Drosophila melanogaster: one gene and its partners. The protein of the gene in region 3 purifies or fractionates together with the protein of the main gene of each other region. This does not show direct contact. Each region holds a gene or a part of one and is shown on either strand. Other genes may lie near its edges. The genes, in order: CG13319, PSMG1, Prosbeta3 and Cyp4g15.

Region 1 (4,387 bases), on a different chromosome or scaffold from region 3:
TGTTTTTCATTTTGTTGCTGCTCCCTCCCTCCCATTGGGTTGTTTAGCGGAAAAGTTTCAATGGCACCTCCAGGCGGTGTGATCCAACACAACCATAGCACAACGCTGCTGGGGGCTGTTCCATTAAAAATATGACTGGCATTCTTGGCGGGGGTAATTCAGACGTCTTATCAACCGATTTATATTTACGATTGGCGGGCAGGAAGTATAGCCAACTTTCAGTCTGAGAATGCCGATAGATAAAGGGCATTATGAAGGTGTCGCGTTGGTCCTTCAACTATCTATACCTGAGTATCAAACTGTTCAAGTTGCAGACTTTCTGTGACATAGAACCATTCTGAAATAGTGAATAGTGACTTGGATATTTTGGATATCGCAATCATTATAATTGGGAACTCATGCAGGAAGTGACATCAACTTTTTGCTCGTGGGTAATTAGTAAAGTTGAGAGTTCCTATAGTCAGTCATCACCAATATCATTTTTTCAAAAGCTAAACGAACTGTAACAAGAGATATAATATTTTCAACCAGTATTATTCACACAAATTTAGAAGCTTGTTAATCACATTGTGAATTGTAAACCCGCTAGTTAATACATACATTTGATAGTGGTATCCTACTAACTTTTCGAATAGTTCAAATTAACAACATAAAAACAAATCTAATGATATTATTTGTCAGAGGTATTCAGTGATCAAACTGAAATGGTACCCATTTGGAAAACTTCCGAATGATTATTACATATTAACTTCTCCCTAAACCTAAACATTCATTCGAAAGGGAAACCGAAACGGAGGCCTGATGAACAAACCGGCGCAATGCGAACACACACATATGTATATTCGAATTTAATACGATGGCGGGGAAATCACCTATCAAGCGATCATCACTGCAGCCAAACTGACCTTCAAATCATTGGGTGGTGAAGCAGCAGCATGAATAGCATGCGGGTGGCACGCGATCACTCACACAGCGGGTGACTTCTTCTTACATTGAGCACTGCTATCGCGACACAATTGATAAAGCCCACATGCGTCTGTAAACTTACTTAGGGCAATAAATTTATTGTACAAAATTCGTATCACCGATACACGTTTAAAGTTCGTGCTCACTCGGCCGCCGCATGACGTCTGAGCGGAGATCGGGAATCGGAGATCCCAGATAGTTAGCTGATGGAGTGCGTAGAGTACGTGAAGCTGCGTCCGTGGGGTAGCCGCCGGTCCCCGAAATAGACGTTGACCCCCACGCGGCGCCGTGTCATCGGTAGCGCAGGCGGGCCCTGTGTGCACGTGAACCAGAAATAAGTCAGCGATTGAGGATTAAATTTATGCCACACTAAGTTGTTGTACCCACTCAAGCGAAGTGCTCCAGATGGTCTTGCATGTAGGTGACTAGCGTCTTCTCGAACAGAGGGCCCATTAATCGATCCAGTTTGAGATTAAGGCTCACGTAGAACTGGCGGCAGTAGCGTTTACTCAATTTGGCGGCCAGAACAGATGAGTCGGTCTGCCCGTGTCCGCCCAGGATTGTGGAGGATAGGGACTGGCTGCTGGCGGGATTGCGAGAGGGCATGGCCACCGCTAGCTCCTCGAAAACCTCCAATCCCTTGGGGTTTATGATCAGCATGGTGCTGCCTTGCATTTTCAGGGCGCGCACGGTGAATTGCGAGGGACCCGCCGCCAAGTGGACGCAATGTGAGGTGAAACCACCAGACTCCTTCGCAGGCACAACATTCGCAGGAACGCTATCCATTAGTCGTGAATTTTATACATAAACAAGCAATATTCACAAGGAAAACAATGAAATAGCAAGTTTGACCGGAGCGGTGTTGCCAGATAACGAAACGACCATAGATAGCTTTTCAAAATAATCGAAAATTGTATCGATAGGCAGCTATTACAGAGCTTAGGCGCGGATTTTAAATTTGCATTACTCCCTCAAAAGCCAATGAAAGTCAGTTTGATTTCGCCGTTCGCAGTGTTGGTTGCATTTATTAAGGCTCTATTTAATGTGGGCGAGTTTTTTAATGTTTACGTTGGTTGAGTTAAATACATATATACGATATTTTGTTCACAATTACATTCAGATTTTGTTTTGCTCTCTTCGGCGCGCGTCGATTGGTTTTTCCTTTTCTATAATGTTAATGTTGTCGCTTTGATTTGACCTACTTATTTAAATACACAAAAGGGAAATCGTCGAGAGTACCAAAAAAAGGCAATTGAAATCAACGTTATTCGATTTAAAGATCAGTTCCGGTTGTTATGTTAAAAAAAAAAGATGAAATTCACTAATTATTCGTTATGCTTGAAATGTCAATGAGAATTATGATGTATGGATAAATATCGGTTATATTTGACGTCTATTGCGCTTTATTTATTGATAATTGATTGTTAATGTTCTTTGAATTTGTTGGATATCAAATAATTTTGATTAATTTTTTTTGTTTTGTTTTTCTTTTTTACTATAATTTGACTAAGTTTTGCAACCGCGATTTCAAACTTCCACCCTGATGGTATTTTGTTTCTTATTTTTCGTGTTTTGTTAGTTTTGTTGTTTTTCATCATGTAATCATTATCGATTTGTGAATAAATATTGGAAGTGATAAACATATAGCGCTGTTATTATGCGGGACTGCGTTGCTTTCTAATCCTCATCGTCCTCAGATTCGGCCTCCTGCAGCCAAGTCAACCAGGCGTTCACTTGGAACAAAGCGGATCCTTTGCCTGGATATTTGTCGGAAATCTCCTCCTTCCACAGGACGAATGCCTCCTCCTCTATAATTTCAGATTCGTAAAGATACTTGAACCAACGGCACAGCATGCCTAACGAAGAAAAAAGCAAATATAAGTTGCCGATAAAACAGATTAGATTTAAAATGTTGAGCACTTACCCTTGGGGAAATTTTCATTGTAGCAGAACGTTTGCAGAGCATAGAGAGCCATCAACTGAAGCTCGTTCTGTCCCAGGAAGGTCTGCAGCATCTGGCTGTAGTTCTCCAGCAGCTGTTGCTCCTTCTGGGTCACCGATTTCTCAGGGTGCTCCTTGGGGTCGAGGTTGTCCGCCAGCGTCGTCTCCTTGGTCACATACTTGACCACCACGGTCATTAGGGCTTGGATAAAGCCCGGGTCCTTGTAGTATTTGTTGTCAACGTTGGCCTTGATCCACTTGTAGAAGTTGTTGGGGTTCGGGTCGCTTTGCAGCTGTTTTAGCATCTCGGCCTGTACCTTCAATAGCGGATAAAGGAAAGAAAGCTTGCGATCCTCGAGTATCCCGGCCAAGCGCTCCTTGTTCCGATCCGCCTCCGGCAGGCTGTTCATAAGATCAACTTTGCTCGCCCGGAATTTCTCTTCCAGCGCATCCTTGCCGATGACCTTGACCAGTTGCTGCAGCACGAGCAGGAACAGCGGATAGTGTTGGCCATTGTCCGTGAAGTTGGCGATATCGCTTAACTTCAGCAATGCTGGCTCGCAAATTGTCTTTGCCAGCAAGCTGGCTACAAGACTAACGATTCGGGGATTGAGTGCCTCTCGCTCGTTCATCTTGTTGACCACCTGCTTGAAAATCTCGACCACGATGTTCGGCTTGATATTGGATTGCTTGCGCAATGTCTGCAGAAGGCGCACAGCACGCTCCAAGAAGACATCGTTTACACGGTCCAAGACCTCCATCAGCAGATTGATGCACACATCCTTCAGCGCCTTCTCTGGCAGCTTAAGCTCGAGGAAACCATCTACAAGCTTGGTGAAGCGATCTGGAGTGGTCACAGGTATTGCAGCATCTTCCTTTACCTCCGAGACTTCAACTGGAGCAGCGTCGGCCTCCTCCGTCTTTGTCTCATCAATATCCTTGATCTCAATTTCCGTCACCTCTGCATCCTCCTCCTCATCGTAGTAGAACCTATCCTTGAAGTACTGACTGGCCTTCTTAGACAGCTCCTCCTTGTTGGGACCCTTATCTTTCTTTTGTTGCTTGGCCGAGCCAATACCGCCGGCCGGAGTGCTTGGTCTCTCCACGGAGCCATTCTTGCCCTGATCTTTGCCGTCGTGCGATCCCTTTCTGCCCGCCTGACCGTCTAAATCCAACTTCTCCGCTCCTGATGAAAAGTTCGGCGAAGAAGAGGTGGCCTTCAATCCCCTCTCCTGTTGAACTCCCAAAAGAGTTCGGTTATCAGCATACTCAGCAGATGGTGTTGACGAGGGACGCGTTGGATTGATCAGATGGGATGTGGGCGTGCCGAGCATAGGGTAGTGGGAGTTCGAGAGCTGGCCCTGCGAGCTGCCCTGGTTGTTGCTGCCGCTGCTATTGGGCGGTGTTGACATGGGCAACGTAGCCGGAAACTTTTGGTTCTGGGAGGCCGCTCGGAAGAGCAAGGAGTTGGCTGCCGGGC
Region 2 (4,715 bases), 3.2 Mb from region 3:
CGGCCCCTGGTGTTAGCTCGTGCTCGTCGTCGGTGTTAGAGGCTTCGTCACTAGCAGAGTCACTTACATTGCCTAAGTTAAGCTGGTCCAATGACACTGTGTGCAGACCAGGTGCAAATGAGTCGTTCGGCTCTGGTAGATCGGCAAACATCTCATTCAGAGTAATTTCCTCGGTTTTGATCGGTTTTTTTTTCGGCAGGTCTATGGACGTCGTTGGATCCTCATCAGCTGCATCCACACTGGAATCATTGCTCTTCATCTTCAGTTTTTTGACAGAAGGAGCAGGCTTAGCCAGCGCCTCCTGCTTCGCCCGACAATTAAGCAGGTGTGTTGACAAGGCAGCGCGACGCTCGAATGATTTTTCGCAATAGATACACAAAGACATGATCTTACGGTGCTCACCGCTGGCATCTAGTGGCTCAGGGACATAGCCCACCACGTCGTCGGAGAGCTGTAGGCGCTTCAACTCCCGGCAGGGGCCCTTCGGCTGCACATCTCCTTGCTGAATGCGTCGCTTGAGGATAGTGTTCCGCATCATTCGAATACGTCGAGTTGGCTTCCTGAAAAATTAAATTGCAAAAGGACCAACATTAATATTAGTTCACACATTGCATGTATAATTTTTAGAAAAACCACTATCCCTATAAAAATGTATCTGTTATATTTTTATTTATGATTATTAGTTGTTCTGTTTTTATGATTCAGGGCTTAAAAAATTCACATAAATAGAAAGTAAATTAGATTGTTTCCTTGGAAACAATATGATTTTTGACATATACATATATGTATAAGGAATGCAGTATGCAGTAAGCAGATATAAATGGACCATGTGAAAGAAAAAAGGAACCTGTCCCCTTGAAGTAGAATAATATCATATATTTTATAATAATAAAATATAAAAATTCTATGGTCGGGTTAAGTTGAACTTACTTGTGATCCTTCGACAAATGACGAATAACAGCAGCGGCCTGCAGAAAGGTCAGCGAACAGGCTGGGCACTGAAACACAAACGCCGATGATGAGTGATGCTTCTGAATGTGCACCTCAAGCGTTTTGTGCGTCTGAAACGTCAGATTGCCTGTGAACGAGATTAGGAAACACAGCTATCACTAATTGTATTCAAGGCCTATTCGGTTAGGTAGTCGTACAGATCTCGCAGAAAATACTCGGCTCCGTTTCGTCGCTGATGGACTGCTCGCCGGAGTCGCTGCCTGCATTGTTTTCCAGCTTAACGGTTGCCAAGGCCTTGCCGTCGGGTCCCACAATGGTTTCAGATGGATTAAGCATGCGATGCACCTCGTCCAGTTCTGTCCTTATGCTGTCGTCGTGGTCCACTTTGATGGTCTGATAAACAGCCTGGCTAGAGTTGGGCACAGACTCCAGCTGCAGAACAGTGGGCGAGCTGCACTTGGCCTGTGATGTAGCCTTTTCCCGTCGCAGACGCTCTATAACACCACTCAGGTCCCTTATGCCGCCGCCACCTCCTCCTCGTAAGGGACGCACGTCGCGGGGAACAGGCGAGCATCCCGTGCTTCTGCTGCGTAGCATATGTTCAATGTCCTGCGGGGACGGACCACCACCCGTTTGTATGATCATAGTGGAATTCTGATCCTGGGGGAGAATTAACAGCGATTAGTTGACATCCTATGGTATTAGAGACCTTGTAATGGGGTTGTCTTTACTGCCCACTCACTGTGTATCCGCTGCCATTTGCCGAACGAGCGCTGACGCAGCAAAAGACGCGTTTGTGGCTGATGAAATTGGCCAGGCTGCGAAACATGTTGCGGCACACCTTGCACTCGTAGATCAGGCTGCACTCCAGACTGAGCAGCTGGCGCACCTGTGGGAGAATCTGATTGTTATCCGGGGATCCACCAAACTGGGGCGCAGGAGCCTCCGCCATTGCGGGCCACAATTGAGTCACGTACTCCACTCAGATGAGACTCACCTCGCTGGTGCCATCCTCATAGGCCCGACGGGCCTCCTCGAATCCCGTGTGGGCGGTGCGCAGCGGCCGCTGCAGCAGGCTGATGTCGTCACCGTTGTGGTCCATCTGCTCCTCCTTGAAAGTGTCAGAGTTACAACGTGAGCTTCGCTTTCTCATGGCGCTGGTTTGCGCGCTTGCTCCCACTGCTAACCAAAAAATTTGAGACCTGTCCTAGCGCGCTGCCCTACGGAATATTTTCACCGACGTGAGGTTCTTAATCTGTTTCTAATTAGCGATCAAAGTGGTTTTCCAATTCGAATATGGACCTGCATCTTGCATTTTTTGTATTCAGTATGACCGTGCTTGAGCGCTGCTTCTGCTGCGATGCTGATCTGGTATTTTTATTAACCTGTGCGGAATTTTTTGTTTCAACTTAAAAAAAAACGGAAGAGTCGAAAATATTTAATCAGGCAAAACCAATAAGCTGGAACCACATTTGTTTTAATATTCGACTAGAACTAACAATTGAAGTTTGATTTCTCCCTTGCTCAGTGGGCGTAACTTCCATCAATTCTCAAAACCCCCAAACAATATTGTCAATACATAATTTTGGAATTAGCTTATTGTTAAATCTTTAATTGACATGCCAAGCCCTAATAAGTTCAGAAAAAGCGCTAAAAGTTCCTAAATATTACCTGCAAATGTAATTTATTCAAATAGAAAAACGTTTATTTTGGCGTTCAGCACATGGTCACACTGATGACTTGAAAAAAACATAGTGACCGGAATTAGGCTCATCATATTAGTTTCACCTTTTTTATTAAATCAAAACAGACACGATGAGCTGTCCAGGATTTGGAGAACTAAATATACCCTCGTCGCGTGCCTTCTGGGACGACTGCGACGAGGATGAATTGGAGAACCTTAAGCCGGTGGAGAAGTGCGTGATCTAATGTTATTTACGTAGGTAGTCCTAATTTCTTGGATTCGCAGGCTGCAGCTGAAGTTTGATGATGATTGCGATGGGGAAGCTGCCCCTGTGGAGAGCGAGATGCTGGTGGTCATTGAGGGCGTCAACGTCACTCACTTCGCCTCTTCTCTGCTGGAAAAGGATGCAAAGCGTGTGTGCGCCATTCCTGCCAATAACTCGACCCTGCACTGGAGTCATTCGTCCAAACAGTTGCTGGCCATAATCAACGAGGACCTGACCAGTAGCGGCGAGGTAGCGGAGCTCCTACTGCCGTACGTGAAGCTTGCCAAGAAAGTGATCACTCTGACGCTTAAGCCAAAGGTCGAGTTCAAAAGCGAGGACATCCAGCTCTACCGGGATCACATTGCCGTTGTCCGCGGCATAGGTGCCAACCAGAAGGATATCACTGAACTAGAGGCTCCCAACTTTATCGCTGGAGTTGCAGCAGGCGGTGAGTGATGAGTGGAAAAGGAGAAGGTTGAATCACCTCACCATCTGTTCACCTTTTTTTGCAGTTGCCAGTTGGCGGGATCAGATGGAATTGCCTGTTACCTCTTTCGTTATTTACACCGACAAGCTGCCCCTCGACGCCACAGCTGCGCAGCCAGTGATCAAGGTACTTAAAGCCGCGGGCGTTGCCTGCAGCTCGAGCTACATCCCTCCGCGGAAGGAGAGCTCTTATTTGTACATGTGAAACTACTTTTGGCTGTGCTCAACTTCCTAGTTTTAATGCTTGTAAAAATGATACGGTTGCGGAATAAAAATCGAACTACTTAAGTACATCAAAAATGCTGAGGTTGTCCTCCCGACTACGTTGCTCCATGTGCGCCTTGGCGATGGCTATGAACTGTGGACGGGAAAGCATTGAATAGGCGGGTACCAGCAACGATGAGGCAAGCATGTGCAGCTCCTTGTGCCCACTGCAGAACATATCGATGCCTAGTTCCAGGGCGCTTCCAAAGTCCGATTCATCAACTGCTATGTTGGCTGCGTTGGCCACCGGCTGCAGCTTCTCCAGAACCGCCTGCTTGGCGGCTCCATTATCGACGTCCTTCCGCTCAAGCATTGCCAGCATCTTCTTGAGTTCGGAATCGCTGACAGCCAGCGGGCGGTATCCCACTTCTGTCTTCTGGTCAAAGGGCACAACAATGCCGGCTCGGTGGAATGTCTTGGCCACAACACGCTTGTTGCGCTCCCGCTGCAGTCGGTCCAGCTGGGCCAGTTCTAGGGAATTGTCACTCAGGTATTTTGCCACCGCCTTTTTGGTCCCCGCCAACTGCCCGCATGAGAACGGAGTGGCCGCAAAATCGTGCTCCAGGTAGTAGAGGAAAGCATCGAAGGCATTTCCAGCGACGAATTGGAACTGGCAGCCTTTCGCAGAGTCGTTGCGGGCTATTAAGAGATTTTCCTTGTCCTGCGGCACATCGCGCCAGTAACCGTAGTGAATCCCAGTGCCTCGGCGCACGAAGATCGTCTGAAATTCTGGTGGATCGTAGTAAAAACGCCAGTGGCGCAGGTAGTCTCCCGGTTCGCCTAGTTTGGCGCCGTGAAATTTACCGGCTAGGAACTCAAAGGGACCCACCAACTGCAGTTGAAATACTTTGTCTAGGTGCTCCAAGCCAGCATCCTTGGGCTTCGCAGGATCAATTTTTAAGCTTCCCACAAACTTCCAAAATTCGTAGAAGTCCGGCGGCATTTCGACAAGGAACTTGTGTCGAATGAACTCGTTGGACTCGCAGAGATTGTCGTACTCCTTCTGCACGGACAGGCGGATGCGCTTCTCCAAGATCTCCATGTAGTTCTTTCCGGATATGTTGC
Region 3 (4,432 bases):
AACTTTTCGAAGTTTACAACCAGGATCAGACGAGACAGTAAAAAAATAAACAATAAAAATTGAAGTGTATCCACCTGAAAAACAAAAACACCGTTTACTTGTTGTCAATAAAGTTTAAGAATAATATCAAGTTTGAAGTCTAGACTACAATAGATGTTTATTTTAGAAAGTATTTTAATTTTACACGTTCGAGCTGCATGTTATTGAAATAATTCATTAAAGGAATTTCTTGAGGCAAGCACAGAGTCAGTTCCTATTTTGATTATGTAAATATACACGACACGCATATATGTACAATACAAGTTCCATTACAAAGAAAAATAAGCAACTACGCGATACGATAAACGAGAGTTGATTTTTGCAGAGCCAACGGAATCGTATGTCCCGTTTTGTTTATTACAAATCGTTATTTTGAACAACAACAAAATTAAGCGTGAGGAGAAACTATTATAAATATATATGCGGCCAATATTTGGCTTAATTTTGAATATCAATCGATCATCGCTCCACTTCGATTTAGCATCGCCCTACCAGCTAGTCCAGAAACATGTTGTCGTCGTCAAAGGTAAAGATGTTGTTGCGTGCTGCCTGGGCGGGATTAGCATCCGGACGTGTTCGGCCGCCTTCCGCCGCTGCCTGACTGGGATTATTAGCCGGCGAGGGATTGTCCGTTCCTGTGGCGGTGCTGGCCGATCTCCTTTCGGAATTACTGCCATCGGCCGCCATCTCTGGTCCGAAGGCATCGAGCATGACAAATTCGTCGTCCGCATCGTTGCCATCGTCTGCCAGTGACTTGCGGCATATGGGGCAGGTGCTGTGCAGGTTTAGCCAAGGCACGATGCAGTTCTCGTGATACAGGTGCGAGCAGGGCAGCTTGCGTACCGTCTCGTCAATCTTGAAGTCGTCCCAGCATATAGAGCACTGGATCTTGCGGTTTACCTCCTCGGCATTGATCTGCACATTGGGTATCTCGTTTATGCGCTGCGCCGACAATGGCGGCGGTCCTGAAGTTTCCATTTGGTTGAGCATTTGGGTGACAATGGTGTCTAGTCCCTCTCGGCCCCACGCATAATCTCCCGGGTTTCCCATGAAGAACATGTGCGAGTTACCGCCGCCGCCTACACCTCCTCCACCGGGTCCAGTTACTATTTCGGCCGTGGCGCCGGCCAGTGGCAGGCTCTGCAGAAAATCAAAGAGAACATTGTCCAGTCGGTCCAAATTTGCCGGACGCACTCGTCCGCCGGCGGTCAGGCCGCGGGCAGAGTCACTACCCGAGGGACCACCAAAGCCGCCTAGATGCAGCACGTTGCTGTGCCGTCTGTTTGGCTCGATGGTAATTTCCAAGTTGGGCACATTCCGCATGTTTAGCAGCGACACAATATCGTTACGCAGCGACTCAACATTCACCTGAGATCCGCTCGATGAGCTGCCTCTGCTCAGGGTGTCGTGTGAGCCAGAAGAGCCACTACCGCTGCTTCCGGATCTGGCACTGCCGGATGCTCCAGCCGTCGAAGAATCCATCTCCGGCGCATTTGCCGGCAGCTCCTCCACGAAACCGTTGGCGCACAGCGGACAGGTGAAGTCTGAGTTGGGAATGTTGATCTCCACGTTGCACATGTGGCAGAAGAATCGCTTGGCTTCCGCGGGGCGGTCCTCCACAACCATTGCCTCTGCCATCCTGCGGTAGGTTCTTTATTTCCTGGGCAACGGCTCCACTGACGATTGTGCAAGACTGTCGCCTTCCGATGATGTAGGCTGCTTGCGGCTGTAGACGTTGATGTGACAAGAGGAGGACAAGGTACACGCGCCTAGCTTTACCCGGTCATTGGGTTCAGTCGGAACAATTGGGAGTTTAAGGGATAGAATTTAATTTTTCTATAAATAAGGGCCCCTTACAAAGTGGCCTTTGCCGCAGAGGAGAATAAATCCCAACTGATTGACGCGGCCTGGTCACACTGAAAGCTAATACTGGCATATTAACATTTGGATCTTTTATTACTTCAAAAGGATCCAAATGATAAGAAAAATGCGTTTTAACATTCGCGGAGATATTTTTGCATTTTTAAACATTTTATAACTTTAACTTGTGTTTAAAAATACTAATACTTAAAAAATACTTAAAAAACGCGATTCTTTTTGAAATCTCTTTAGTAGGCGTTGCCAGTTCTATACAGCCAGTCAGTATTAGCCCATCTTACACTCGCAGTCTGGCAACGCAGAGCAGAAACAAAAAGTCATCTTCCCAGGCGGCTTTTAGCATTTTGCAAAATTTCCATTTTTCTGCTGATTAAATTGAGCTAAGCGAATAGCAACGACACCATGTCGATTCTAGCCTACAACGGAGGATGTGTAGTGGCCATGCGCGGAAAGGACTGCGTGGCGATTGCCACGGATCACCGATTCGGCATTCAGGCTCAGACGATCTCCACGGACTTCAAGAAGGTGTTCCACATCGGCCCACGGATGTTCCTCGGGCTCACAGGCCTGCAGACGGACATCCTTACTGTTCGCGATCGCCTGATGTTCCGCAAGAATCTGTACGAGACACGCGAAAACCGTGAAATGTGTCCCAAGCCCTTCTCGGCCATGATGTCCAGCTTTCTGTACGAGCACCGCTTTGGCCCGTACTTCATTGAGCCGGTCGTTGCTGGCCTGGATCCCAAGACCATGGAGCCTTTTATCTGCAACATGGACCTGATCGGCTGCCCCAACGCACCCGATGACTTCGTTGTGGCCGGCACCTGTGCGGAGCAATTGTATGGCATGTGCGAAACCCTGTGGAAACCCGATCTCGAGCCGGACCAGCTGTTTGAGGTCATCGCCCAGTCCATTGTGAACGCATTCGATCGCGACGCCATGAGCGGTTGGGGTGCCACCGTCTACATTATCGAGAAGGACAAGATCACGGAGCGCACACTGAAGACCCGCATGGACTAGATGATGTTAGAGGTTCCCTTGGTGATTTTGTATACATTAACCGAAATACACATACAAATAAAATTTGTTTAGGTACAACATGTGCGTATTTCTTTTCCGTATAACGTAATAACACCAGAATTAAATGCGTAATAACACCAGAATTAAATGCGATCTAATTATTGTTTTTCAATTTCAAAAGCATAACTTTAAGTCGTATTATATTATTGCTCTTCTGTCCACTCGGTGGATTTCTTGGCCAACAACATGGCAGCCTCCTCGGTTTTTGCCCCGCCAATAAATCCTGTGTGATGGATGAATTCGAGATCTTTGATGCTCGCCTTATCGCATAGTTCATCGTCCATCAGTCCGCGCCAAGGAGTGGGCAGAAATTTGCGGCCCAGATAGCTGCCAGGCGTCACTGGAACTCCGGCCACTCGCCAACTATTGCCGCTGTTGAAGACGACCAGCTTGGGCACACCCTCCACCTTGTACTCCTTTTCAAGATCGAACAGATGAGACTTCCAGGGGCAGAAATTCTTCAACACAAGAATCTCGCCGGTGGGATGGACGTTCTTGGCATTTTTAAGAGCCTCTCGTACGTGATCCCGGGCTGGAATCCAGGAACATGATACCTCCACAACGTTGTCCACAAACTCACGACCTGCAGTATCCATCGCCTGTCTGAATCGGTCTTCGATGTCTACGCCAGTTTCCTGCCAGGACGGATTCAGTTTGGCAATGCGGGCAGATAGATGAGTGGAGATTTTGTATATAGGCTCAACGCCCTCGAACATGGGCACTCCATTATCAATTGCGTCCAGTTCGTTGATAAAATTCCTATAGATCTGAATAAAGGCCGTTTGCAGGTTTTCCGGTGAGAGTTTAATTCCCTTTTCGCGCTGCAGGATGCTCTGTATAACACGCTCGCCATAGTGACAGTAGACCAGTCCAGCACTGCTTAGCCTGGAGGGGATTACATTGGATTATACGGGTTCATTTACGCTAACACCACGAATTCACCTGACAACGTTGTAGTCCTCGCTTACATCTGGGCGAACGGAACTAAAAGTCTCCTTGAAGGTTATTTGGTGGTGATCGTACAATTTCTTGGCATGATCATAAACGCCGCCCACGTCGACAATTATATCGCACTTCTCCTTCAAAGCCTTGTTGTCCCGACTGCGGAAAATCTCTGCGTTTTTGTACTCATCCAATTGCTTGAGCATAAAACATGCGACCAACTCGTCGCAGTGAAAAGTGCCGCTGTGTGTGCCGATCCAAAGGGGAGAGCGTTTTGGTGGGGTAACTCCAGTCATTATAGATAGTTTTCCTGCTTCAAAACATTCAGTTAAGCCCAGATATTTCAATTAATTTCGGATTGTAACCAAAAACTTACGAAAACGAGGTAACAATCGGAACATTAGCGACGGTCTTTTCCTCCATTTAATATCGATATCACAAGTTTTTATAACTTGATATGGCAACACGCGTTCAGCTTAAATATATAAAAACT
Region 4 (9,442 bases), on a different chromosome or scaffold from region 3:
GTCACTTTTGACCAGTGCTGCCAGATGGCCAAATTAGTTTGGTACTTGCGTTAGATGGGATGGGGCAACGCTGCATGTTAGTGATGGCCGAGGGTCGATAGTTATATACCAAAAATATACCAATTTACATTGCCAGCTGGTACAGTGTTGGTTAATGCTACGAATGGCGCGCATATTTGAATTTTAAGACGCATAAAATAGAAGACGAGTAATAACAGCAACCAAATGGCTGTCAACTCCATTTGCTGTATGAAAACATTTAAATTTCCCACTAAAATCCATTTGTATAATTACACAAAAGATTTATTGTCAAAATCATTACACACAAATAGGTATTATAATTATTAAATAACCAAAAAAAAAAAAGAGGAGTAGAACAATTAAAGGAAGATGACGATAGTTGTGGTTGCTTTTTGTGTTAAATGCGTCAAAAAAATAATCATTATACTATTCAATAAATCGAGTGTGGGAGCACGTTTATTATTATTTAATATTATCAATATTACTGTATAAACCGGTGACTATCACTTGCCAACAAGTGGAGTTATATGTATGGATAAGTGTCCGTTCTGTGTAGCTTATTGTTTGCGGTGTACGGTGTATGGTGTGCTGCCCGCCTGTTCCGCCTGCCCCACCCGCTCCACCTGGTCCACCTGGTTCGCCTAGCTGATGTTCGTCGCGGCCACCGGGGTTCAACTGGTCCGCGGCTGGAGGCGCACGCGGAATCCCTCCTCACGCTTTAGGATGATGTCCGCCTGCAGTTTGAAGTCCGATTCGGTCAGGTCCGAGTAGACACGGTAGTTCCGCAAAATGGTCGACAGTAGGATCTTCAGCTTGAGCATCGCATACTTGCGCCCTAAAAAAATAATTATAATAAATGAAACAAAACATTATTCATATAGACGATCCGAATATTCACATAATTTGCTTCAGTGTTATATCTGCAACTCACCCACACAGCTGCGTGGTCCCGCAGAGAACGGCACAAAGGCGTAGTAGTGGCGATTGGCCTGGCGCTCCGGCAGGAAGTTGTCCGGATCGAAGACGTTGGGATTGGCGTAGACCTTCGGATTGCGATGGAGCAGGACGGTGGCCACCGTCACCGTGGCGCCCCTGGGAATCACGTAGTTGCCCGAGTTCAGCTTGAGATCCTCCTGCAGCTCGCGGGCGATCAATGGAACGGGTGGGTACATGCGCAGCGTCTCCATCAGACACCGCTCCAGATACTTCATCTCCAGTGTGTCCTGCAATCGGAATGCGGACATTTTAAGCGGTTAACGTTCAACATTCAAGAATATAACTAACTAACTATGGTGATGTGTGCGGCATTAGTTACCCACCTGAAATGTGGCCGGTCGCTGGGAGTCGCCAAAAATGGAGTCGAGTTCGGCCAGTACGCGATCCTGGATGTCCTGGTGGATGCCCATCAGCGAGAGAAAGAACGAGGAGCCGGCTGCCGTGGTGTCGTGTCCCTCGAACATGATCGTGTCCACCTGCTCCTTAATTTCCGTGTCCGTAATGAGTGCTCCATTCTGTGCACTTTCGAGCATCAAATCAAGGAAGGCCAGCCGCTTCTTCTCACCAATATCATTGTCCTCCACATCCAGGTCATCCTTGAGACCAGCCGACTGTCCATAGGACAGTCCCGCCACCGGACTGGCCTTCTCCTTATCCTTCTCCCGATCCTTCTCATCGCTGCCAGCTGTTGATGGGGTCTGGTCAACACCACCATTCTGTTCCCGTTCCCGCTCTAAGGCGGCTGCCTTCAGCTCGCACTGGGCAAGGGATCCACGGGTGCCCTGCTCAAAGGCCGCCTTCTTGCTGCGGATCACCTTGGTGGTCAGGCCGTGGATGATGTTCAGCAGGCGACCCTGCTCCTTGTAGTAGCGCGTCAGGGTGAACACGAACTCGTTGCGCAGAAAGATGCTCCGATGGCGGGCGTGAAGGATGTCGCACATCCGCATCACGGCCATCGCATACTCGAATCCCGATTTGTCCTGCGTTTTCTTCGACACACCCATCGCAGTCTCTGGAATTGCCAAAATGTAGCACCCAGAAAGGTGTGTATTTATACAAGTAGGTTTAGATTGTGATTATATTAAATAATAACTAAAAGGAAGTATAAGTATAACCTCAATATCCCATCACATTCGAATCGTACTTTTCCTTTCAGTGCAGAGACTCGTATCTGGATTTGAAGAGCAGATTGCGATCGAGATCGGATGCGAGGAGATCGGATAGAATGAGATGAGTTGGCAAGGGATGGCATGTGGATGTAGATGGGATGGACCCCCAGCACAAATGGGGGGAAGTGGAATGCACTCGCCTGACCCAAGCGCCAATTGAACTTAACAAACAGACAACAGGCGGCGGAGGTAGCCCCCGGATTCCCCGCCAGCTCACCATCCATCCACCGCCTGTCTAATTGTAGATACAATGCATAAATAGATCTATAGATGACAGCATAAACGAGCTTACGGACAAATCCGCTTCGTGTGTACAATCATGTGTGTTTTTGTGCTGTGGGAAAACTGCGAGCGTGGAATTTGGCATTTTTTTTTTTTTTTTTTTTTTTGATAAGTTCTCGATTGCCAATCACAGTGAATCACGGTCTATAACTGGAATTAAACTAAAGGAAAGTGACAGTGCAATCTGAAAACGATTTGAAAGATTCAAGTTGCAAATGAGATAGGTCAGTAAATTTGAATAGGTTCGTGTAAATAGCATATCTAAAAATTAAACTGCTAAATTTGAGTTTTGCTCGTGCGGAAAAGGAATACGAAAATCTGGCTTATGCAATGACACATTTGAGTTTTTCCTGTGGAAACTCGCCCGGATTTTCATTCGCATTTCGCTTGGCATTTGGGTTCGTTTCGTTGAGTTCTTAATTGCTAATTGCCCGTTTGCGTCAGACCCAGACCCCATACCCCAGACTAATAATCGCCGTGAACAACAACCTCAGTCGTTGCATTCAAATTTTCCTTATTAAATGCTTAATGGCAGTGCGACGTGGCTTTAATTGCACTACTGACTGCGAATCCCGCATTCGTTGCGTTGCATTTTCATTCGCTGCATTTCGGTTCGGTTTGGTTCGGTTCGGTTCGCCTCGGTTCCATCACATCACATTACATCGTATCCAATCCAATCCAATCCAATCCAAGGCAATTGAATTCTGCAATCTTGGCTGCATTTCAATTGTGCAGGGCTCGGATTATTATGCAATGGCCTACAAATCAATCCCAAATCGGCCGAGCACTACGAGCTCCACAATGTCATTAACATTGGCCACCAGCCAATTTTGTCTAGGCTCTTGCCGGTTTCACTTTTCACTCCAGGCCCAAAACGTGTCTGGCTTTAAGCGAATTGCCATCTGGGTGCCATTGGTATGATGATAAACAAGACCATTTGGGTGGGCCAAAACCTATAGGTATTACCTTAACCTGCATCTAGAAATATGAGGTTGTTTATTGCTGATAGAACTTGGATCTTTCAGATATCTCGGTGTAATATTCCCATTAAACTGAAACTGAAACTATTGTTAAGCTTCTATAAAGCTTAAATATGGAGGACATACAATATTTGTATATGCCATATGTTTTTGCTATAACTTTCAAATTCCCAAATAAATTTGTCCTACTTTGAGCTACAATAGTTATGTTTTGAATATGCTGTAAATTTACTCTATATAAGATATCGATTATCTTTTTAACTGATCTTCGATTGTTTGTTTTAACTTAGTAAGAACCCCTACTTATGGAATTTTCATAACCAAGCAACATGATCGTTTGGGGTACAAATCCAACCAGTTTGCATCAGTTTGGCATAATTCGGTTAAATCTGGGGGCTGGGATTTGAAATATATATATACATATATATATCTATATATATATATATCTTTATATGCAAAAGCACATGTATGTATATGCTCATTTGCTCCCATTGTGGGGCCACAACAAAAGCGGCAAATTTTTGATTTGCCAGTATATAGGGAAATGGGTCTGCACTCAATTGTGTGTGGCATACAATATAATGTGTCCATATCCACGGCGTTTCTAGCGGGGATTAGGTGGCTTGGGCGCACGCATATAACTGAAATGATGATGATGATGCTGGATTGTATGCTCATGGTATGCTATAGTATCGTATCGTACTGCGTGGTATGATGGTATGTCATGGAATGGTATGGGTATTTCGGATGATCGTTGCGATTGCGAGTGCGTGTGGGTTGACTGTACTTTAGTGTAATCATAGTATGGCTATCTCTATCCCCATATCCGTATATCGCACCTATCTGTATCTGTATATCTGTATATGAATGTATCTGTACATCCATCTATCTGTATATCTGTTCACTTACCCAATAGAATCTCCACGGTTGCCTCGCTCATGTAATCATGGCAATCAAAAGTGCGACCATCCTCCGCACGCAGTTTCCTCACCACATTACGCGAGTTCTCGTTGAACAACTCGATGAAGCTCTTCAAGACATTCAGATGGAATGTGGGTGCAATCAGTTTGCGGTGCGATCGCCATTTTTGACCTGCAACAATAGATGGAGCGGGAATGTAGAACCGATCGTACATACAAGATATTCTTACAAAAAAAAAAAAACCAAAAAAAAATTGGACATTACATTACAAATTTGTTCATGATTATCACTCAAGCTAATAAATAATAGTACTTTTTTCTTACATGTCTGTCTAAATTGAAAATCATCATGTGTAATATTATTTATCATATTATCATTTTGAACTTATTACATTTGAAATTGGTATATCTTCAGTGCAAACGACTGTGCATTTTTTTTCCGTGACTTTTCTGCGACGTTGATTTTATTTATAGCGGCATTGTTGTGCCAACTGTCAGGCTAGCGGATCGCTTAATTAATTTATGATTTCGCAAATTGCATTAGTGGCAAGTGGACACCACCCCTTAAATGTGGGAGGCTTTCCCCCTCAAAACCCCACCTCACCTGTGCTGATCAGCAGTCCGTCGCCCAGCCAGGGCTTGAAGAACTTGTACTCGGATGCCTTGTCGATGTAGACATGGCTGCTCAGCAGCAACTCCACGTCCCGCGGATCGTAGATGAAGACCACCAGCTTGGGCCCGATCCACATCTTGGCTATGTGCTCGAAAGGGGCGCTTTTGCGGATGACTGTTCGGAAAACAGCTGCGGGGATACACGGATTAATTTGGGGGATCAATTCAAAACCACGATTAATTTTTGAAAAGGATAATTAGTGCTCTAGTATGTGTTATATTTTAAAAGTCAGAAATAAGTTCTTTCTTAAAATAAAAAGGAGAAGAATTTTCATTTCACTATTATTCGGAAACTTTATTCCAAGTGACTAAAAACTAATAATCAATGTTTAAAATTTTGGAAAATGCATGATAATTACTTTTAAATCAGAATTAAAGTTTCGTTTGAAGTAGAACTTCAAATAAATGTGTGTACTTTCAGAAGTGTTTTAAAAAGATTTCAAACGAGTATTATATTTTAAGTTTCAAAAATGCTTTTCTTTAAGTTTAAAGTTTGTTCCAAATTGATTTCTCAATAGCAGCAGGATTTCTTTTGAAATGTATTGAAAATTAAATATTTTTATGTGATTTGAATTCAATTCGGAGTTTGCCTGATAATCCGTATTTAAAACTGGTTATCCTCGTTTTTTTTTTTTCACTGGCTGCTTAACCCTTATGCCTGCTAAGGGGCTATGTCGCACCCTTTCCCGCGAAAAAAATGGCACTTAGTCTAGTGGATTTACATGAAGCGGGTCCAATCACATCGAACAGATGACCCACGATGGGCAGTCCCCGTGGTCCCGGCAGTCGTCCGGCCAACCTGTACAGGTGAGCCCGCGATAATCGCCAGTAGATGTACCAAAGCACCAGCGTGGGCAGCAGCAGGAAGTAGAAGACGCTGCTGGGTGAGCCCAGGGCGGCGTCCTTCTTCAGCACCTCCATTGCTTGTCGGGATCCTCTTTCTCTTGCTCTCTCTCTCACACACTCTCCCCCTCTCTCTCACTCTCTCTCTCTCTCTCTCTGTTTCGATCGGTCAACAATGTTCACCAGGTCACAGAAAAAACACCAAAACAAAAAAGAAAACCAATCGATCGGCGCACGCACACTTCCCACACAGTACACACGGATCGATCAGCTATCCATGGGCTGGGTTGGATTGGGTTTTGCGGATCGGATCGGATCGGATCGGATAGGATCGTATCGGATCGGTGGACCGGATGTTACTCGCTGCTCGGCCAGCGCACAACTAAACGGTGACAGCCCCTCGCCGAGGCAACCAGCGCGAAATGATCGCGTATATCAACCCACACACAGGGGATGCGATGCGATGGAATGGGATGGGAACGGAGCGATGCGAAGAGGATCGGACCGGATCGGATGGCGGAGTTACGGACTCGGAATCGGCTGGATATGTGTATAAATTAGATACGTTGGACCCGCACTCGCACTCCTCGCGCCTCTTTTCCAGCGACTAGACAGCGGCGACGGTGCGAACGACTTTTATAGCCAACAATGTGCAGCATATGTGCACTGCGAACAAAAATTGTGCACTCAGCTCGCAAGCAAATGCGACGGCTTGTTAAAAGTTGCGCAATTACTAACTTAAATATTTAACAAAAATATTCTAGAATCCTTTTGTTGTTCAATTCATATGCATATATTTCCATGTGGCATACCCTTCGAATTTTTCATGATCTGAGCACGAATGGTGGCAACTTTTCTCACAGTGCTCGAGTAAATAACTGCGGTATGGAATTGGGGTGGTTCTCTGTAGAATTGGATCATGTGAATCGGAACTCAGGTCTTCTCTAAGCTCATCCCGGTGAAAGTTCCATTCGTCACGAGAATTGAGCTTCAAAACCGAGTGACGAAATTAGCCAAAGCTTTTGAGCAGAAAAACGAATGATCAAAGTGAAAAATCATTTCGATATGTATCTCTTGGGTTAAAAACGCTTGCAGATTGTTGAAGTCTTTTTCTTGGTTTATTTTTAAGATGACATTTATGCATGGTATGGACAAGAGTTACGATTAAGATTACGAATAACCTAAGCTACCTCATACGGTTAGAATTACTCAAAAAAAAAAAGATTTTCTATTACTATAGATATTAAATCACCTGCCGTGCTTTGCATGTGTGTGTGTCTGTGTGTGTGTGTGTGTGTGTGTGTGTGTAAGAGTGACCTCAGTACGTATGAGCAATATTATTGCCTAGACATTTGACTATATAATAGCTATAAGTACGGACACTAACTTATGGAAGTCTGGCAGTGCTACAGTAGCCAGTGTCCACTGTAACATGTGGTTTACGATCGGCAGCCTAACTACAATTGATATTTCGCTTGATATATGTATATATATATTTTTTTTTTGCTTTTCTGCCTGCTCGCCCAAAACTATGCAGCACTTTTTTCATCGATGGAAGCTCAATCTCGCTGTCTGGTTTCTATCCCTCCTTTCCGTCTAAACGGACGACTCGTATATGACGATCTGCAGGACCTTCGGCTTGTTGTTCTGCGCCTCCTTCACCTCCTTCAAAATGGCATTCGTGATGGCTTCCAGGGCCGCAATATCGGGACTGTGCTCATTCTTCTTACTATTCCATTTGGGCATGGACACCTGGTGGTAAACCTTCATTTAGTATCGTATGTTTGTGTTTATTTTGTGAGAATCATCATACCGTAAGCACCTTCTGCAGGGCTGTATAATCGAGGCCCGTGCCGGCTGTTTCGCCCAAGCGACGCAGAGTCTCCGCCATGGGACCAGATAGCTCCTGGAAAATAGTTAAATTTGGTAAATAATACAATAAAAATAGTGTATACTTGTAGAACCCACCTGCAGCTTGGCCCAACTGGTGGCATATTGCCTTCGCACCAGCTCAATGATGGTCGATGTCAGGGCCAGGCCAATAAGAATATACAATGTGCACAGTAGCATGTAGTTGGGTTTCTCTGAAGAGTATGGCAAAATGAAGTAAATACACACTTGGGTGCTCCAACAACCTACTTGGCACCAAATCACCGAATCCGATGGTTGTCATGGTGATGAAACAAAAGTAGAAGCCATCGAAGAATGTCCAATCATCTTCCCAAAGCAGGAGTAGACCAGCTCCAGCGGCCAAGTAAACGCCCAGAAAGCCGACGGCCAAAATGGCATAGAACCAGGTTTTGCCAATAAAGTTGGTAAACTTTGGTTTCGCTAGGGTGTTTAAATAATAACATATGCATTAATATTATTAATAAAGTATTCATTCAGCTGCAGCGTCTTCACGCATCATTGCAATAATTACACAAATGAAATATGCTCACAAAACCAACGGTGCGTATGCGCAATGCTTTTCAATGCAGTCGCATTATTAACGCTCATACGCACTGTGTACGATTGTGTTTTTATGCCTATGTTATTATTGTATATTACCATTTAATTATCACATTAATTGGGAATTGTTTTTGGCTAAGCACTCTACATACATATTTTCAGTTGGTTTTTAATATGTTTTAGTTACTTACTGGGCATATGTTTGCCAAAAACAGAGACTGCGGTAGCAAACAGTCGACCCCAATCGGCAATCACGGTGAGGGTGAACGGGATGCCGATGAGGGCGAAGCAAATGCAAAACACCCGACCACCGGTCGTCACTGGCACAATATTGCCATAGCCTGAAATAGTTGAATAACAATAGAAATTCATTACTTTAATCAGGCTTACAGAAAATATTCACATTTTTGGCCACAACATTGGAAATAATGGTCCAAATATGGATTGTTATACCTCGTTGAGTTCGTATTTAAAATTCTAAACAAACTGTGTTTAAAATTTGGAATTTTAATTTTTCGCCATTTTTCGCAAATTTTGATGATGTTACCCCTTACCGAAAATGCGAAAATCGACCCAAAAATTAATTTTTCAAAAACCGTCAAAAAGTCTTAGGGATAGTTAGTAGTGGTAATTATCTGCACAAAACAGTAATTCCTGCTCTTATATGACCATTTTAAGATAAGTTATGAGAAAAACACTCTTTATATTCTTATTGATATGTTATGTTGTTATGGTGTCTTCCATCCCTTGAGTATCTTTTTCGTTATTTGACTTAATTAATGAATAACTTAAGGTGCATCGCTCACCTATGGTGGTTAACACAGTCGATGAGAAGAACACAGCTTGCAGGATGCTCCATCGCTCGTAGGGCTCTGGAAAGTCTTTGTCGGCCACAATGAGTAGCCCTCCCTCAGCCGCCTGTTGAACGGCCTGCAAGATTGGTTTTGTTATCAGTGGTGGTTAGCTTGGGGTTTTTTAAAGGGAATGCCAACCGCTTCGTATTTGGCCAGTTCGAAGGACAACAGCTCGTCGAGATTGTGCACTTCGGTGTTGTTCAATATGGTGTGCAAAAAGCGCTCCCTGTGCGTTTTCACAATATCCTTCAGAT

Evidence for each region.
Region 1: the proteins of Prosbeta3 (region 3) and CG13319 purify together in Drosophila melanogaster (affinity purification with mass spectrometry, with the first as the bait; one large-scale study listed by BioGRID). This does not show direct contact.
Region 2: the proteins of Prosbeta3 (region 3) and PSMG1 purify together in Drosophila melanogaster (affinity purification with mass spectrometry, with the first as the bait; one large-scale study listed by BioGRID). This does not show direct contact.
Region 4: the proteins of Prosbeta3 (region 3) and Cyp4g15 purify together in Drosophila melanogaster (affinity purification with mass spectrometry, with the first as the bait; one large-scale study listed by BioGRID). This does not show direct contact.

What each region holds. Positions count from the first base shown.
Region 1 is NT_033778.4:12,921,314-12,925,700, reverse strand, and holds CG13319 (uncharacterized protein), read right to left. Parts: upstream 1,798-4,387; 5' UTR 1,753-1,797; coding exon 1,354-1,752; 3' UTR 1,350-1,353; intron 1,280-1,349; 3' UTR 1,037-1,279; downstream 1-1,036. Other genes in the region: NAT1, read right to left, coding at 2,644-2,822, 2,891-4,387.
Region 2 is NT_033777.3:5,792,274-5,796,988, reverse strand, and holds PSMG1 (proteasome assembly chaperone 1), read left to right. Parts: upstream 1-2,671; 5' UTR 2,672-2,766; coding exon 2,767-2,867; intron 2,868-2,920; coding exon 2,921-3,348; intron 3,349-3,412; coding exon 3,413-3,591; 3' UTR 3,592-3,666; downstream 3,667-4,715. Other genes in the region: CG10979 (uncharacterized protein), read right to left, coding at 1-560, 931-1,078, 1,149-1,611, 1,694-1,840, 1,949-2,104; Hpf1 (histone PARylation factor 1), read right to left, coding at 3,667-4,715.
Region 3 is NT_033777.3:9,003,959-9,008,390, reverse strand, and holds Prosbeta3 (proteasome beta3 subunit), read left to right. Parts: upstream 1-2,164; 5' UTR 2,165-2,319; coding exon 2,320-2,937; 3' UTR 2,938-3,078; downstream 3,079-4,432. Other genes in the region: Iru (iruka), read right to left, coding at 535-1,677; CG11980 (uncharacterized protein), read right to left, coding at 3,141-3,882, 3,940-4,252, 4,316-4,340. UniProt on the Drosophila melanogaster protein: Non-catalytic component of the proteasome, a multicatalytic proteinase complex which is characterized by its ability to cleave peptides with Arg, Phe, Tyr, Leu, and Glu adjacent to the leaving group at neutral or slightly basic pH.
Region 4 is NC_004354.4:11,474,112-11,483,553, reverse strand, and holds Cyp4g15 (cytochrome P450 4g15), read right to left. Parts: upstream 6,497-9,442; 5' UTR 5,962-6,496; coding exon 5,763-5,961; intron 5,171-5,762; coding exon 4,973-5,170; intron 4,541-4,972; coding exon 4,358-4,540; intron 2,030-4,357; coding exon 1,341-2,029; intron 1,245-1,340; coding exon 953-1,244; intron 857-952; coding exon 693-856; 3' UTR 321-692; downstream 1-320. Other genes in the region: CG43155 (uncharacterized protein), read right to left, coding at 7,480-7,635, 7,697-7,789, 7,852-7,967, 8,023-8,214, 8,526-8,675, 9,141-9,264, 9,327-9,442. UniProt on the Drosophila melanogaster protein: Probably involved in steroid hormones biosynthesis.